Linked DNA regions of Caenorhabditis elegans. The protein of the gene in region 2 interacts with the protein of the main gene of each other region in a pairwise test. Each region holds a gene or a part of one and is shown on either strand. Other genes may lie near its edges.

The links.
Region 1: the proteins of nova-1 (region 2) and C26C6.8 interact in a two-hybrid assay, tested with the Caenorhabditis elegans proteins (one large-scale study listed by BioGRID).
Region 3: the proteins of nova-1 (region 2) and snr-2 interact in a two-hybrid assay, tested with the Caenorhabditis elegans proteins (one large-scale study listed by BioGRID).
Region 4: the proteins of nova-1 (region 2) and cla-1 interact in a two-hybrid assay, tested with the Caenorhabditis elegans proteins (one large-scale study listed by BioGRID).

What each region holds. Positions count from the first base shown.
Region 1 is NC_003279.8:7,502,980-7,507,466, forward strand, and holds C26C6.8 (SH3 domain-containing protein), read right to left. Parts: upstream 2,664-4,487; 5' UTR 2,602-2,663; coding exon 2,559-2,601; intron 2,486-2,558; coding exon 2,394-2,485; intron 2,340-2,393; coding exon 2,187-2,339; intron 1,819-2,186; coding exon 1,705-1,818; intron 1,657-1,704; coding exon 1,436-1,656; intron 787-1,435; coding exon 597-786; 3' UTR 544-596; downstream 1-543. Other genes in the region: pbrm-1 (Bromo domain-containing protein), read left to right, coding at 1-88, 135-254; C26C6.6 (LIM zinc-binding domain-containing protein), read left to right, coding at 2,993-3,058, 3,104-3,169, 3,230-3,329, 3,489-3,667.
Region 2 is NC_003283.11:18,078,846-18,083,843, reverse strand, and holds the start of nova-1 (K Homology domain-containing protein), read left to right. Parts: upstream 1-1,937; 5' UTR 1,938-2,013; coding exon 2,014-2,020; intron 2,021-3,803; exon of another isoform or gene 3,804-3,888; intron 3,889-4,998. Other genes in the region: fbxa-106 (F-box domain-containing protein), read left to right, coding at 373-460, 510-1,152, 1,198-1,386.
Region 3 is NC_003279.8:13,337,436-13,340,767, reverse strand, and holds snr-2 (putative small nuclear ribonucleoprotein-associated protein B), read right to left. Parts: upstream 1,372-3,332; 5' UTR 1,338-1,371; coding exon 1,335-1,337; intron 1,282-1,334; coding exon 1,111-1,281; intron 1,055-1,110; coding exon 746-1,054; 3' UTR 544-745; downstream 1-543. Other genes in the region: ola-1 (Obg-like ATPase 1), read right to left, coding at 234-419; W08E3.4 (Major sperm protein), read left to right, coding at 1,880-1,924, 1,972-2,286, 2,595-2,760, 2,816-2,915, 3,081-3,153, 3,204-3,308. UniProt on the Caenorhabditis elegans protein: Plays a role in pre-mRNA splicing as a core component of the spliceosomal U1, U2, U4 and U5 small nuclear ribonucleoproteins (snRNPs), the building blocks of the spliceosome.
Region 4 is NC_003282.8:7,608,823-7,613,710, forward strand, and holds the start of cla-1 (Protein clarinet), read left to right. Parts: upstream 1-1,857; coding exon 1,858-1,940; intron 1,941-2,013; coding exon 2,014-2,075; intron 2,076-2,453; coding exon 2,454-2,522; intron 2,523-2,616; coding exon 2,617-2,930; intron 2,931-3,820; coding exon 3,821-3,865; intron 3,866-4,137; coding exon 4,138-4,187; intron 4,188-4,232; coding exon 4,233-4,280; intron 4,281-4,400; coding exon 4,401-4,817; intron 4,818-4,888. UniProt on the Caenorhabditis elegans protein: Required for synapse development in the active zone of presynaptic terminals of specific neurons including serotonergic NSM neurons.

The DNA.
Region 1 (4,487 bases), on a different chromosome or scaffold from region 2:
GGTAAGCCGATGGGAACGAACTCTAGGAGCAACTGCCAGGAATACCCAACCAGCTGGAAATGCCCGCGCTCCATCTCATTGGATAAGGGTTAGTTCGACTATTTCTTCTTGTAAAATATATTTCATAATTTCAGAGAATTGAAAACGGACGACCTGTAGCTCGCGAAGAGGATGTTACAAAAGCTTTGTGGAAACTTCGCGATGAATTGTTGAAGAGTACGTGTAGTCTTGTAATGGACCGACCAACTCAATGAAATCAGTGGATCTCTTGTTAAAATTTTATGCAATTTTTATAACTTTATCATAATTATCCTACCCTATCTCGCCTCCCCGTTCAATCCAGAAAACAAGAATCTCTTTTTCTTTTAATGTATTTTCTGATAACCAGTTATGTGTGCTCCTTCTGTTTTTATCCTCTCATGATTCCCACGAATACCTTAAATCCTATTTATTTTCAATAATTTATTCGTTTCTTGATTGTATTTCTTACTACCCACTTCAGTCACTAAATTTATTATCATTTCCAATTCACCTTTTTTTAAAATATTTTTATTAATGGGTCGGGTATGAAACAAATTCAAACGATAAATCAAACATCAAAGATCTGTCGCCAAAATTACAACTTTATTCGGGATAAATCCCTGCTTCTCGTCAGCGATTCGGACGGCCCACAACCAATCATCTACTGGTCTTCCAGTGCATTTTATCCATTCACCTGGTCGGACTGTTAGATCAAGAGGTGATCTTCCAGAAAAAGGTTCGACTACGAGAAGATTTTCATTTTCCCTAAAAATTAAATAAATTTGCCAAGCCAAAATATAATCAGTTTATTTCGCAATCTTTTGAAACGCAAGCACGAGAAAAACATTTATGGCAGTAGTTTTTTATCTTGCAACGGCCCTTTTGCTTTTTTCGGGAATTTCGTGAACAATTTTAAAGTCGATTCTTTTGATTTTTTATTACCCATACGCGAAACTTTGCAATTTTTGCGCCAAAAATATGGTACTCAATCTCGACACGACAATATTTTTTATCAAATGTAAACGGATGTGCGCCTTTAAAGGGTACTGTAGCTTCAAACTTTCGTTGTTGAGGAATTTGCATAGATTTTTCATAATTCTCCGTTAAAAAATGTATTTATTTATTTTAAAAAACCACAAAACACATATATTTTATTTTACTAATCGTGAGAAAAACTATGAGCACGAAAAGTTGTATTTACATTACAGTAGTCTTTAAAGGCGCACACGTTTTCACACTTAACAAAATTGTTATCGTGTCGAGACCGGGTACTGTATTTTTGGCGCAAAAATAACAAATTTTCGCGTCTTCTGAGTCTTTTAATTCTGAAAAAAAAAACAGAATAACACCCATGACCCATCTGAATAAGTCCGTACACCTTTAAGCGTTTCAGAAAACTGCGAACTTACGATACCATTTTTCTTTAATGACACGGCTAGCTTGTTGCAATATTTCATGTGGAATCTTAACATGGGAAGAAGGTACAAAACCAGATTGATTGTCCGAATTTCGAATATAGGTCCACTCAGGATCTGATATATTCAAAACTGTGACAGATTCTCCATCTTTCACAGATATATCATCTGGAGCTGATCCATCAAATGACTGTAGTATTTGAACTTCGCATATCTCATCCTGCAGATAGTATCAAAAGAATATTCAATAGCTTTATTCAAAACAAACCATTTTAAAAACCTCTCCTTCTTCTTTTTGAACAGGAAGACTGTCGATAAATCTCTGCAAATTTGATTTTTCCCAACGGCGATCAAGTGTCGCGCTGGATCCGATCACCTTTTTCTGAAAAGTATTTGATTTGATTTCTCAACGGTTCCATTCCCGAAATTCTTGGAGATCAAACCGAAATGGGACTCTCTGACATCACGTGGCTTCTAAGTTGTTCTCACTAAAGGTGACAATGATTTTCACCACTTTTCTTCGATTTTTCAATGACAAAACTATGAAATATCTATGAAATATTGGAAATAATTAGGAGTGTGGTTACAGTAATTCGCAAGGCGCACATTCTTTTGCGCATATTTCGGTCGTGTCGAGACCGGATACAGTAGTTTTAAATGAATATCATTAAATGCCACAATTACACGTGTTGTTGCATTCTTTAAGATTTGCACTAAAAATAACTTTTCTAGAACATCTAAAACGCTCACCTTTTCACCGTGTTTTGAATTCAAAAGCAATTTACAATATGTCTGTGGAACAAATCCTTTTCTTCCATCAGATACCTCAACATAAATCCATTGATCATCTCGATAAATTGCTTTAACTGTAGTGCCACGGGTTACACTAATTTCGTCAGCAACCTTAAAAGTGAGAGGTTAGAAATTGGGGTAATTTGGAAAAACTGAAAACTATACAGTTGCTGTGAAGTTTTTTGTTAGTTGTCCTGGAGTATAAGGATCAAAATGATCCACTTGCATACTGTCAACCCATCCACCATTATCGGGCACTGAAATTCATTTTTGGAGGTTTTATTTTTAATCAGCTAAAATTAGAAAAAAAATGGGACAAACTGTGCTCACCTCTTCCAGATACAACTTTCCAAAAAATGCTCCTAATGCCCATTGTTTTTGTGCGACGAAAAGCCAATGAATTGCTCACAAAACACGGTTAATCAACAGAGGCATGTCAAATTATTGTTTGTTCACCGAAAATTGGATCTGATTGGAAAAAAAGATGGAGTCTCGGGAGGGAAAGGCATGAAAGGCGGACAGTATTATTTGGCTTCAGTATAATGGCTTATTTTGCCCTAGAAATAAGGAATCTGTGATATTTTATGTATTTTGGAGATTACCATGCAGAGATGCATAAACTTTTGTATCTTGTTTGGAAGTTTTCAATTAAAAACCAATAAATTTTAATACCAGTTACGTGGCAACCGCTTACTAAATACAAATTCGGAGGCGAAGAATACAATTTTAATAAAAAATAATTTATTTCCAAATAAACTAGAAAAATGACTATTGAGTTTATCAATTGTGCAGGATGTAAAGCCAAAATCGCCGAGGAGGATGTCGAAAAGGTAAATCCACAATTGGTGTATTTCCTTTAAAAAAGTAATTTTTAGAACAAAGTTGTCTTCTTTCTGAATCGAATGTGGCATCGGGATCATATTCAATGCATTTTTTGTAAAGTTAGTTTTGGAAGCGTTCGGAAAAAAGCACTTCCAAAATTTCAAAATATCCAATTTTAGCTTCAAATCTCGGACAATCGTTATTTCCGTTCATCAATTGATCCAATGAAACCATCATGTTATGCATGTCATATTCAAACAAATCATCCATCTTGCACAGGTATTTTTAGTTCTTCGAAGTACTGATTAGTAGAAATTAAAAATTGAATGATATGGCTTGTGAATTCGGTTTTGCACGGGTTATACGAACTTTGATTACTCAGCTACATATAGGAAAGATTAGAGCCCCTTACGATTACTTAAAAAACAAATTTTACAGGATGCTCATTGCCAGTAATTGAACGAGGACTTGTTGCATTTAATCGTCTCTTTCATATTGATTGTTTCCGTTGTGCAATCTGTAACAAGACAATTCCTCAAAGAAAAGGATTTTATGAACGTGATATGATGTTTTATGATGACGTTTGTTATATGCTTCATATCAAAGATGTTCTATAACATATTGAACTTATTTGAAAAAATAATGAATAGATTTTGAACGGTTTAAAGTGTATTTTTGTGGGTTAACTATAATTTCTAAGATACTGATTTTTGAGAGATTTCAAGACAAATAGGGAGTAAAGTAGTCCCTTTCGGAACAATTTTTCTGTGATTTCTCTTGTTCACTGACAAAAACTGAACAATTTCAGTGTTTCATCTAATTAAAACATTTTTTTATCAGAAACATTGGACTTTTTTAAAATTTATAACACGATTTTTGAAATTTTACACATTTTGAAAAATGCAATTTCTGAATCCAGAGTTTTGTCAATTTTTCAATCAATTTATAGAACTTGCAAAAGTGAAACAATAATTATAATATTTGAAACATCACAATCATAATGAGCATCCTTCTGTTCTTTCATCATTTAACCTCCTCCATTCAAGTAGTAAAGTGTGCATCTAGTAACTTCACACCACAAAATGTTTCTGTGGGAGAAGAGCTACGGGATGGATGAGATGTGTCACCTGTGTCAGATCAAAATGACGTCATATAGATCTTAGTTTTCTTTTTCGAGTAACTACGTACTCGAAAATGTTTTGTGACTTTTTAAACATGTCAGTGTCAATCTTTTAATAATTTTTTTTTGTTTTTTGTTTCTGTCTGATTTTTTTTTGTGTAATAGTCTTGAAATCTTTTTGAAATCTAAAAGTCTTCTCAAGTCTCAATTCACTATTTCAATATTTGTCATTTTTACGTTTTTACAGAGAAACTAAACATTTAACTTTTGTTTCAGATGAAGTTTTGGCATATTTCCAATTTTCCTTGCAAAATTTT
Region 2 (4,998 bases):
GGGTCAATTGAAAATTAGTCTTGCATTCAAGACTAATAGAGGAAATACGGTAATTGGGTACGATAGGAATACGGTAGGTTTATAAGTTATGTAAGTTTCTACAAATGTAACTACTTCAGTTTCTCTGTACCAAACTTTGAAGAATTTTTTATTACTTTAAAGATCACTGAAATAGTGAGCCGTTGTCTACGAGATCAAATATGTCCGAAAATTACCATTTGGTATCGGTCCTAACAAATCAGTATTTATACCAAAGTTGTTTCTTCGTCAATATTTTGAATTTAATTTAAAAACACATATATTATTCAATTTTCAATCTCACGTGAGAGAGTGTGAGAGAAAAAGAGGAATTTTGAAATAAATGAAATTGAGAGAGGCCGTGCTCCAAGGCTCCATCGATGTCGAATTTGCCATTGGACGTCATTCATAAAATTGTGGAAAAGGTTGAACCAATCGAACGGTATAATCAGAACTAGTTTTTGGAGGATTAATTAAATTGAAAATTTCAGGCTTTCTGTCCGTAAAGTCTGCCGCAACTTTCGTGCAATCGTCGATAATAAGGATCCTGGAATCAAGCGCGTTGTACTTAACATCCATCACTCTCAATTCCAGATGTGGCTGCTTGACGCAAAATCTACTGTAATTCACTATGATTTCAGTCATTCGCATTGCACAGTAAACTACAATGATCGGAATGAGCGCTTTAAAGGAGTGAACGGCTTGAAAATGGCTGAGACAGACTTGTCAGTGGTGATGAAGAACTCGAAACTTCAATTGGAAGTCCTTGAATTCCAAGGATATGATCGTATTCAAAAGAAGGAAACATTTATGAATTGGTTCAAAGAAATGTCCGATTCAAAAAACCTCTACAAGGTAAAAAGAATCGACTTTTCCATTAATCTTCCAACTTTTGCCGCAACAATTTTTCCGCTTCTTCAACCAGGATTTCTAGAAGAAATTTGCATTTACTGCAGCGGGAATCCAGATTACGTCGATCAATTATTTGAAATGGAGCAATGGAAAAGAGCCAAGTCGATTTTTATTGATTCATATGGAGAGAAGCATTTCCCAATTGAAAATCTCTTCCATCTTACCCACTTCTTCATTGATACGGCGTATCTTTCTGTCGCTGATGCTGTTAAAATCAGAGATGTTAGTTTTTTAATGTTCCTTCAAAAAAATTGTCATTTTTTCCAGATTCTCTTGAAATCGACTGTTTTTGAGTCTGGAATCATCACTTCTAGAAATATCTTCAGCGTTGGAGTTGTGCGAGTTTTCAATCCAAATTTCATTGCTAGAAGACCTTTTCGCGTTGACTATGACAATGGCTCTCACTTCAGCCTCTTATACGATCATATTTCTATCAAAATCGAAAAGAAGAAATAAATTAAACTGTTGTTCACTCGTGTGGTTCTCATTAAAATAAACTGTTTTGTTGAAATCTGTTTTTTTTCTTGTTAAATTACAATTTTGAGACATTTTTGTATTAAATTGCAAACCTTGTTGAAAAGTGGAGATTTTCCCGAAAATTTGCTGGAAATTGTGAGAAAAACTATAAGTGAAAAATTGAAATTTATTAGATTTTTTAACTAATTTGCATGGAAATGCATGGATAACCGGTGCAAATTATACAAAACCTCAAGTATTCACGATTTTCTTTTTTTGAGAAAATGATTTTTTGTTTCAATATAGATGAAAAATTGAATTTCAACCCGGAATATTGAGAGTTTCGACGATTTTCTCTCAAGTTTCACGATTTCTAACCAATTTTTGACTCTAAAATTCAGGAAATTTCATTAAAAATCAATAATTTTGAAAACATTTTAAATTAACTTCAATTTAAAAACCGGACTACGGTACACAACTCCGCAAACACCGCACGGCGTGTTCTGTCTACCGTAGTACGGCGCAATAAAAAAAAATAAATTTTTTTCCAATTTTCGAACTTTTCACCCAATTTTCGGCGCTTTTTTGCTGATTTTCGACGAAAAACTGAAGGAATTAACAAGCGCAATGGAAGGTTCGTGCTTTTTCAACTTGAAAAAGGTAAAATTCGAAAAAAAAAATACCTCTTAGGATTCAATTTTTCCATTAATTCCGCAATTTTTCCATCCTAAATTGATATTTCTCACAGAATTGTTTGATTTGTCTTATTTTCCGGCAAAATAATGTTTGAATTCGATAAAAATCGGAAAAATTCGGCTGAAAATGGTGGAATTTACGCCAAAATCCAGATTTTTCGACTTTTCAGCAAGTTTTTGGGTAAAACTACGCCGTTTTGACGAAAATTGCAAGAAAATTGACTTAAAATTTGACTGTATAATTTATGAGTTAAAATTTAAATTCTACTGGTTTTCCGGTAAAATTGCAGTTTTTATTGTTACAAAAGTTCTAAAAAACTGAATTTTGCCTTAAAAAACCCGTTTTTCTGGAATTTTTTGCTGAAAAAATTGAAAAATTGCTTTAAATCTCGTTTTTAAATCAATTTTTCTGTCAAAATCTAACGAAATCTCTCAAATTTTCGATTGGTCTGCTAGCGTTTTTTGTAGTTTGTAGTCTAGCAGATTAAATTTCTGAGATTGGGTCTGCCAGACTACAAATTACAAAATGTATTTAGCAGACCCATCACTTTTTCGACTAAATTTTGCGTTTTCAGGTGAAATTAAGCAGATTTAAAGGAAAAAACTCAGTTTTTCACAGAAAACCGACAAAAAATATGAATTTTTCGTATTTTCAGAGTTTTTTCGGCGAAAATTGTGATTTTATGCATAATTCTCTGTGAAAATTGATTTTTTAAGTCAATTTTCGTGAATTTTCACATTAAAATGTCGAGAAAATGCACATTTTGAGATATTTCCCGCAAAAAAATCAGGAAAAAATGCTCAAAATTGGCGATTTTTACCAAGTTTTATGGTCTGCCAGACTACAAACTACACAAAATGTATTTAGCAGACCCAAAAAAAAACATTTTTCGCGAATTTTTTTGATTTTTTTCTTGCATTTTTGATCAATTAGCATTAAAATTCACTAATTTTCCTCCCCAATTCCAGAAAAACCGGTTTTTCTGGAATTTTTTGCTGAAAAAATTAAAAAATTACTTTAAATCTCGTTTTTAAATCAATTTTTCTGTCAAAATCTAACGAAATCTCTCAAATTTTCGATTGGTCTGCTAGCGTTTTTTGTAGTTTGTAGTCTAGCAGACCCGAGTGGGTCTGCTAGACTACAAACTACAAAACGTATTTGGCAGACCCATAGTTTTTTCGACTAAATGTTGCGTTTTCATGTGAAAATACGCAGATTTAGACGGAAAAAACTCGGTTTCCCATAGAAAAATATGAATTTTTCGTTTTCTTAGACGGTTTTTTGGCGAAAATTGTGATTTTACTCATATTTCTCTGTAAAAATCGATTTTTGAGTCAATTTTCGTGAATTTTCATATTCAAATTGCGAGAAAATTCAAAATTTGAATTTTTCCAGCGAAAAAATCAGGAAAACTGCCCAAAATCACAGCGAAATTGACGATTTTTACCTAGTTTTATGGTCTGCCAGACTACAAACTACACAAAATGTATTTAGCAGACCCAAAAAAAAAATTTTCGCGAATTTTTTTTATTTTTTCTTGTATTTTTGACCAATTAGCATTAAAATTCACTAATTTTCCTCCCCAATTCCAGAAAAGCCGGTTTTTCTGGAATTTTTTGAAAAAAATTTGAAAAATTGCTTTAAACCTCGTTTTTAAATCATTTTCCTCTCAAAATCTGACGAAAATCTCTCAATTTTTCGATTGGTATGCTAGCGTTTTTTGTAGTTTGTAGTCTAGCAGACCAAATTTCTGAGAGTAGGTCTGCTAGACTACAAACTACAAAATGTATTTAGCAGACCCATATTTTTTTCGACGAAATTTTGCGTTTTAGGTGAATATAAGCAGATTTAGACGGAAAAAACTCGGTTTCCCATAGAAAAATATGCATTTTTTTTAAACGGTTTTTTGGCGAAAAATTGTGATTTTATGCGTAATTCTGTGTGAAAATTGATTTTTTAAGGCAATAATCGTTAATTTTTCCTGAAAAATTCCGCGAAAATGCAAGATTTGAATTTTTTTCCCGCGAAAAAATCAGAAATCTGCTCAAAATAACAGCAAAATTGACGATTTTTACCAAGTTTTATGGTCTGCCAGACTACAAACTACAAAAATTGTATTTAGCAGACCCAAAATCCATTTTTTTTTCGCGAATTTTTGGATTTTTTCATGCATTTTTTATTAATCAGCATTAAAATTCGCTAATTTTCTCCCACATTTAGGAAAAAATCGATTTTTTTTTGCCAAATTGCCCCGCTCTCGCCGTTCTTTTTGGCCATCTGCTCTCCGAATAACACTTGGCATGCTGCCAAGTGTCCCACCAACAAATCCCATCGATTTTCGATGTTGGCGAGGGACAAAAAGTGACGACGATTAGAGAGCATTGAGAGCTGAGAGAGACGAGAGAAAACATGGAACCTCTCGTTGTCTGCCGTCTCTTCATCTCATCATTGTGTCCGTCAACTGACTCATTTCTTCGTATTTACGCGCTCTTTTTTCGAAGGAGGACGCGTTCCGTTTTTTTTTTTGGTTTCGTACAAATTTTTGGTTTTTTACGCGATTTTCTCGAAATTGCGTGTGAAAATTTGCAAAAAATTCGATTTTTCGTTTCAAAATCGAGCTTTCCTTCTAAATTATCAAATATAATCGTAAAATCGGTTTTTCTCTACGATTTTTCTTCAAAAGCTGAATTTTTTGCTGAAAAGTGGGTTGAAAATCACGAAAATTGCAAATTTTAACGCTGATCAATAAAAAATGCAAGAAAAATGGATTCTGGGTCTGCTAAATACATTTTGTGTAGTATGTAGTCTGGCAGACCATAAAACTTGGTAAAAATCGCCAGTTTTGCTGTAATTTTGAGCAGTTTTCCTGATGATTTTTTCGCGGGAATAATGCAAACATTTGCATTTTCTCGGAAT
Region 3 (3,332 bases), on a different chromosome or scaffold from region 2:
GCTAACTTTTTTTTTCAATTGATAATATTTCAAGCAAAAATCTATGTAAAACAGCTCTTGGGGCTATTTTAAATGTTAAATAATTAAATAAATAGTCCAAAAATCCAGTGAAAACTGTAAAATTTTGCAAAAATCAGTTTTCCGCGTGTATTACACCGAAAATCAAAGGACTTCGCACGATTGGAAAGGCTTAAAATCAGAGGATTCCGCTGGAATTTTCCAGAAGAACGTACTCTGCTCTCATTCGGATCGATGGTGCAGAACGGGAAGTTTTCAGCCTGTGCTTCGGATTTGGTGAGCACATTGAAGAATGTCGACTTTCCAACGTTCGGAAGACCCAGAATTCCGACTTTAAGGTTGGTACCAAGACGTCCGATCAACGCGGGCTTCTCCTCGACGACGTTCTTCTTTGGAGGCATCTTTTTGATGGTTCCCTGACGACTTTTAAGTGTTTTACAATAAAAAAAAGATGAGAATTTAGAAGATAGAGAATTCTGGGTTTAAAACCATTGAGCTATCAAAAACCTAGCCTACTGAATCTCTCAAAATTCAAAAAGTTTATTCCAGATTCTGAACAGCTTACGAAGATTGGTGGGTGATGGGAAGATCTCGATCACCCGAGAGAGTATCGATAAATTAAATATATAATTAAAGGTATTTCTACCACAAAAAATGAAAAGAACAGAGAAAAATACAAGATCGGTGGGAAAAATGATAGAAACATGCGGATTTGGATAGCAAAATTTTAGAATGGACGTCCTCCTGGTGGGCCGCCATATCCTGGCTGCATGGCTGCCATTCCTGGTCCTCCGTGTCCGCGCATGGCTCCAGAGAGGCCTCCTGGTGCTCCGCCTGGTGGCATTCCCGGCATTCCTGGCATAGCTGGCATTCCACGGCCTCCTGGCTTGGCTTGTCCGACACCTCCAGCTCCTCCGGCCTTGGCGAGTCTCACTGAATCGTCATCTCTTGGTGGTGGTCCGTCGACGGTCATCGAGACGATATGTTCTCCGCGGACCAGTACGAGGCCGAGAATTCGCTTTTCTTCTCCATCGGTCTGAAAATAAAATGGTTTTTGTCTTCAATCAACGCTGCAGAAACAGAAAACAATACCTTCTTTCCGGCCTTTGGCTTGATTTGTCTGTGTTCCTCGCACTCTGCGAGTAAAATGTTCATATGCTTGTCGAAAGCCTTGAAAAATCCGATGAAGGTTCTACCGTCCTGAAGGATGATCTTCATCCTGTAGTTGAGATGAGCCATCATCTTATTATTCTTGGAGATAGTCTGAAAAGAAAATATTTTGTATTTATCTCCATGAGAACTGTAGAAAAACTTACCATCTTGAGGCGTTGGTTGTGATTTTTTGTCTAGGACCTGGAAATAAGAATATTGAAGTTTTACTCTTTCAAAATGAAAGAAATTAAAGAGTTCTGATGATACAAGAGATGAAACAAACGAATATTTCTGCAAAACAACTTCTAAAAGTCACAAGAACCGTTTGAAAACCGATCGTTTGAAATTACATAAATACCGGCGAGAAATCAAGGTTTTGAAATTGATTGAAATTTTAAGCGATGAAGAACCTTTAAATTCACTAATTTTTCAATTTTTTCGAAAGAAAATCTTAAAAATCAACTGAAAACCGACAAAACAAGCTGAAAATCAGCCAAAACTGCTGGAGAATAATTCGAAAATCTAGAGACGCCGCAACGAGACCCATTCGTATAAATGCGTGCGCCTTTAAATCGATTTGCGCGGCAGTTCAAATAAAAAAGGCGTGACCCCACGGAAAGCAGAAATTGGGGAAGAGAAGGTGAGGGGAGGGGTATAAAAAATGCAAAAATCGATTATTTCGAATATTAGTCCAATCGAAGAGTGGTGAATGGAGCAGTCTAACGGTCATAAGTTGTATGTCGTGTTGGATCAAGTGAGAATTTTCGAAAATTTCTTGAATTATCCGGTAATTTTATTCAGACATTCGTGTGTTTCGATATTGATCAACCAAAAAATGCGTGTCAAAAGTTGAAATTGAATAGTTTAGCTGGTGTTGGACCAATTTATTGGAGATTTCTGGTATTTAAGCTCAGGTGTGAGCAGCCTCTGGAATATCTGAATTTTTTCAAGACAAATGCTCCAACTCGATATTTCATAACCCCAAATCAGGCTGTTTTGCGTGACGATGAGCCGATTGAAGTGTGTATCACACTTTATCAGAACAAGTTCCGACCGAGACATGAAATCGTGCTTCAAGCTGCATCAATTCCAGAATGTGGAGATTTCGACCCGAAAGTTGGTTTTATTTTCGTACAATAATTGAATATCATATAAAAAAAATAAAGTAAAACTTTTCGAAAACCTTCAGAAAAGATGATATTTCAAGTTGAAAACCGAAAAGCTGTCAGTTTTCGCTAAATTCCGATTTGAATTTCCGCGTTTTTTGTGAGAGCGTTGTTCGATGGAGCGCGCTTGCATTTGACAAAAACGCGCAAATTCAAATTGCAATTAAGCAAAAAAACTGAAAGATTCTCGATTTTCAGCTGAATTTCAGCTTGAATTAAAAACTTTACAAAAAAAAAGAAAGTAATTTTTCCCTACAGAAACTCTTCGATTCTCCGGAAAATGTCCAATCCATCTCCCTGGATCTCGGCACAACCATCATGAAAATCGAGTCGGCAGTGGAGATTTCAAAGACGGCAACCGATTTTCATACGGCTCTCGACGCGTCTTCAGTGATTGGTTCGGATCGTGTGGATCAGCTTAAGTGTAATAGAGCGCGTTTGCTTCGTTTTTTTTAATTTTAAATTTGCGAAAATTTCAGCGATTCTAAACCTGACGAAAAGTGACACAGCACTGCTTGAATCTAATATAACTCAGGCAAAACAGCTGAAAATCACTTTGGATGCACAATTGCAACAAAGGTAGTTTTGAATTTTTTCCGGGTCTCGCCACGATCGCGTGCGCCTTTAATGGTGTATCAAAATTTAAAAAAAAAACGGATTAAAAACTACAGTACCCCTTATAGGCGCACACTCTTTACATAAAAGTTTTGATCGTGTCGAGACCCGATACAACTCAAATTTCAGAAAAGCTCTGGTCGATGAGTACAAGTCGAAACTGACAGTGCTGGAAGGAAGTTACATGCGCAAAAGTGCAGAGGTACTGAGATTTTTTATTTTGAAAAATTTAAAAAAAAACTTGAATTTCAGGTTCAACGTCTCCAAAACGAGCTTCAAAATGCTCAGAAGGCTCATGCAATGAAAGCCACCACTGCTCCAAATGAGAAAAATCAAGCAAATTGCTCAATTTCTTGAATAAAACGAATAAACTTTCAAATT
Region 4 (4,888 bases), on a different chromosome or scaffold from region 2:
CGTTCAAAATCAATCAAAGCAATCTCTTAGTGGTCTAACCCAAGAAGAGCTAGATAACATTGCACAGGCTACTGAAAGTGCTCAGCAAGAATCTAAGCAAGAGCTCACACAAGATGAAATAGATCACATTGCCAGAATTAATGCTATGGCAGCGGAAGACTTTGAACAACCCGCAGTTAATATGAATCAAGGATTGTCACAAGCAGAGAAAGATCATATCGCTCGTATTGAGGCTATGGCAGCGGATGATTCACAATCTAAAATCATTGTTCCTCCTCCTTCAATTATCCAAAAAGATATTGAACTTTCAATGGAAGAAATGGATCACATTGCTCGAATAGCTGCAATGGCTGACGAGGACTTTACACATCCTGTTAAAGGAGCTGTCGCGCCAATTTATGATGAAAATTATAGTAGGGACGATGGTGCAATTGATAGATTCCCAGCTTCGACAGCTACTCCAGTGTTTGCGCAGCCGTCTGAAATTGAACTTTCTGAAGAAGAGCGTGAACATATTTCCAGAATCGCTGCAATGGCTGAAGAAGATTTTAATACACCATACGTTTCAACACATCCAACACAGCAAATTGAAATAGAACTAACGGAAGAAGAAAAAGAACATATTGCAAGGATCGAGGCGATGGCTTCCGAAGATTTAAATGCGCCATCTCCCTTTATCCAACAAGAGCAACGAGTTGCGACAATGCCAGTGCCAATTAATTATCATGTTGAAGAACCAACTCTATCGCAAGAAGAAATTGATCACATTGCAAGAATAACAGCTATGGCTACTGAAGATAACACTGATCTACAAACTCTACCAACTCCTCAAGTTAAACAAAATGAACCGGAGCTCTCCCAAGAAGAAATAGATCACATTACTCGAATAGCTGCAATGGCAAATGAAGACTTTGGAATGTATCCTTCAATTGTTTCTGAACATCCTGCTCCAGTTGAATCTGAACTTACTCAAGAAGAACTTGATCATATCGCTAAGATCACAGGAATGGCATCTATGGACATCAGTACTCTACCACCTCCAACAGGAAAACCATCCGAGACATCACTTACTCAGGAAGAACTTGATCATATTGCTCGCATAGCTGAAATGGCATCAGCAGAATATGATGTTCCTGTAAAAATATTCGAACCACCAGAACTAACTCAAGAGGAACTTGATCATATAGCAAAGATTACTGCAATGGCTGCACAAGATGTCCAACTTCCTGCCACCCAAAGATCGATTACTCATAAGGTTTCGTTGACTCCACCTCCTCCTCCTCCTTCTAAACACTTTGAGCAAGATCTCACTCAAGAAGAGCTTGACCATATTGCAAGAATTGCTGAGATGGCTGATATGGATTATAACACTCCATTCACTGCTGAACCAGTTCAAGATGAAGAAGAAGAACCAATAACAGAAAGTGGATCAGATGCAACATCAGGTGCTGATATATTCGATGAACAAGAAGATGCAAGTTCAGGCGCCAGCGGCTCCTTCGATAACAACAATGCTCAAGTGCTAACGAGCGGCTTCTCTCCAGATCGAGTTACATCTCCTGCTGCACTTGACACAACTGAAGAGCCCCAGGGTCCTATTATGGCTCAGAAGGTGAGAAATAGACGTTGTTTTTTGTGTGCGAGCTGTTTCTATTTTCCCAGCCATAAATACTTTTTTTTCACATTCACCATGTTGCTATGCATGCCGTGGCAATGCAACGGTGTCATTAAATATTATGCAGATAGCGTGACAACTCCCAGATTTTCAACTTTTCCCCTTTTTTGACTACTAAACACTACTATCCAACAGGATTTTATGATTTTCAGACTGTGTCTCCGACGCCATCAGCAGATTCGATGGCGTCACGGAAGAGTAGTGAATACGACATTAGAAGTATATCAGAGATTAGGCAAGAGTCCGAGTCGGATATCGGAAAGTGGTATGCTGAATTTTTAATAAACCTTTTTTTTTCTTTTTGAAAATTAGTGTTTCAATTTTACTATTTTGTTCAGGTATGAGGAGCAACTCAGTTTCATGCGACAATCGATCCACGATGAGGAAGAAGATGTGGGGCGTAAGTGGTTTAAAAAAAAAACTTTTATGCGCTTCAGTGTAGGTACACAGAGGCCTACTCACCTACCTAGTATAATTTGCTAAAACAAATTCTACTCGACAAGAGAATTTCTACAGCAAAGAAAGCAAAAGCTAGATAAAATGTTATCAAAAATATTTTACAAGAGTGTTTAATTAATTCTTAATTCTACAAAAAACAATTCTAATTGCAATCAGCAGACTTTTATCTGAACTTTCAAAATTTTCCACTATCCACTCTGTTTTTGACTCAGAAAAACGTCCAAATAAAAGAAATGACTGAATATAATTTCATTAGACCTATGTAATACAAATATTACATTTTTCTTCTCTATTTACTTTTTTATTTTTGAAATTTCAGATGAAATTCGAACTGACGTTGAAGAGTTCCCATTGGAGTATGTTGAGGATCAACTTCACTTCCTTGAAGGTGAGTTTTCTGTCAAAAATGAAAAATTCATAGCACAAATCAAAAAGCGAGACGAAGAGACCAAATCTCAAAGCAAAAAAACATATATTTGCAGGTATTGACGTAGAGAGCCAACACCATGAGCCCACCACTTCTTCTGCCTTCTTTGGCACCGGAAGATCGATTGGTGAAGGGGAAAAGAGAAAATATGGTGACGACGCCGTGGAGCAGCAAAAACTGGAGAACTACGAAGAGGAGGAGAAGACGAAGAGTAGTAGTCGTGAGGCTTTTGATGATGGATTTGAGACGCAGAGAGAAGAGTCGTTGAGGGCGCAGCAGACACCCATCGATTCACTGCCGGGTAGTCGTATGTTGAAGCGACCCAATTTCGGCTTCCTTTCTAATATTGCAAATGATGCTATTAATAAGGTAAGTAATTGAATATTCACTATGACCTATCAGACTTCACCGTTTGAAAAAAGACCATGAACAAAAAACTAAAACTCAAAAGACTACGTTTTTGAAACTGTAAATGCGCGAAGCTATTCAAAATATTTTCAGTCACTATAGAAATTGTTATTTTTTTTAGAGCTGTTTGACTGAAAATAAATAATTGTCCAAAATTGTTTGACAGGTTTTATTATGATATTTGGTATGGATATTTGAAATGATTTTCCAATAATGTAGAACATATTATGTTGCAACAATTTGTTTTTTTCTGTTATATTCAAATTTACTGTTTTCTAGAAAAAAAACATAGAAATTATGTTAACATCTAAGAAACTCTTCAATCAGCATTTTTTCTTAAAAATAACTAACTTTTACATGCAACATTTTGAGAATATGAGTAGTTTTTTATACACACAAATTTATATATTACATGAATTCATTTTCAAAAAAAAAAAACCATTTCAATGTCAGTATACAAAACCAATTTCGCAGTGTCTTTGACTCTCCAAGAGCAGCTACGATGGGCTCGTTACTCACGGAATTCGACTTTCCGGTCTTTCCAAAATAACGCAAATGTGTTGTTCCCTCATCCAACAAACACTATACAATCATTTGTTCTTCCTTTTTTCTTTTTTTTTTTTAGCGGTCACACATACACCATTCCAAAAGATGTACCCATCGTTTTGGTCTATTTTCCACTTTTTTATGTTTTGTTGTATGTGTCGCTTATGCATAAATGTAGGGTGTGCAACAAAAAGAAACACTTTAGGATTCGGCTCGGGGGACCCCCATGCCTCATTAATTTTTTGCGAGAAGACATGCGTGTGCTCTTCTCTCCTTGTCACTTTCGATAATTGCTCTTTTTGCAGGCAAAGGAAGCGGGTTCGCAAATCCAAGCCGCCGTACCCATCAAGGTGAGTGAACTTTTTTCTTTTTATTCTCTTTCCGTAGGGCTTCCGACCCAATTCAATTATGGTAACACGATTTTGATCTAGATCTCATGACTAAACGCTCACGAGTTTTTCACTTGATTGATTACTTTTTTTTGAGAAACTGCTTTTGGTATTAATATTATAAACAAACAATTAACTAATTCACAAAACGGCTAATGTTTTTAAACATTACTTCTGTAAATTAATTTTTTTGAAATAAATTAAATAACCTCAAAATAATAAAAACTTTTCAGCCATCCTCTTCATCATCAAATATTGTCAACAACAATGTCTTCTCTAGCAGGTAATTGATATTTTGTCAAGTCAACTATAAAAAAAACAATTTCAGCAAATCCTCAACCTCCCTAGGCACCAGTGCTCCAACCAAATCTATTCCGTAAGTAACATAAAACATTCCCAGTATATCAGATTACTCCCCGCACGTACACTTTTCTACCTCCCCTCTTCTTTTTTCTTTTGATTTTCATTTCCTAAATGGTTAATTTTGAAATTACAGCTCTCCACAAATCGGTATTCCGATGGATGGTCTTTCCGAAGAAGAACGTCGACAAATCATGTCAGTTATGGCTGCAGCCGACTTTGACGATTCTGTTAATAATGTAAAACCAAGCACAAGTGGTTCATCAAATATTCCAGCAGGAATGGAGGATCTTTCGGAAGCAGAAAGAGAAAAGATCATGTCAGTTATGGCAAATGCAGAAATGGAGATGGGCGCACGTTTCCCTCCTCCTTCAAGTCAAATTCCAACAAGATCTCCCAGTGTTATGAGTTCAAGTATAATGTCCGAATTACCACCTGGACTCGATGATTTGTCAGATGATGAAAGAATGAAAATTATGGCAGTTATGGCAGAAGCTGATATGCAGAATGTGCGAAAACCCATTGCAAGAGGCCCACCACCAATGCCACCAAGGTTAGTTAGCCGACAATGAGACACCAAAATTTTAAGATTATGAAACACAATGAATGCTTCAAATTTCACTG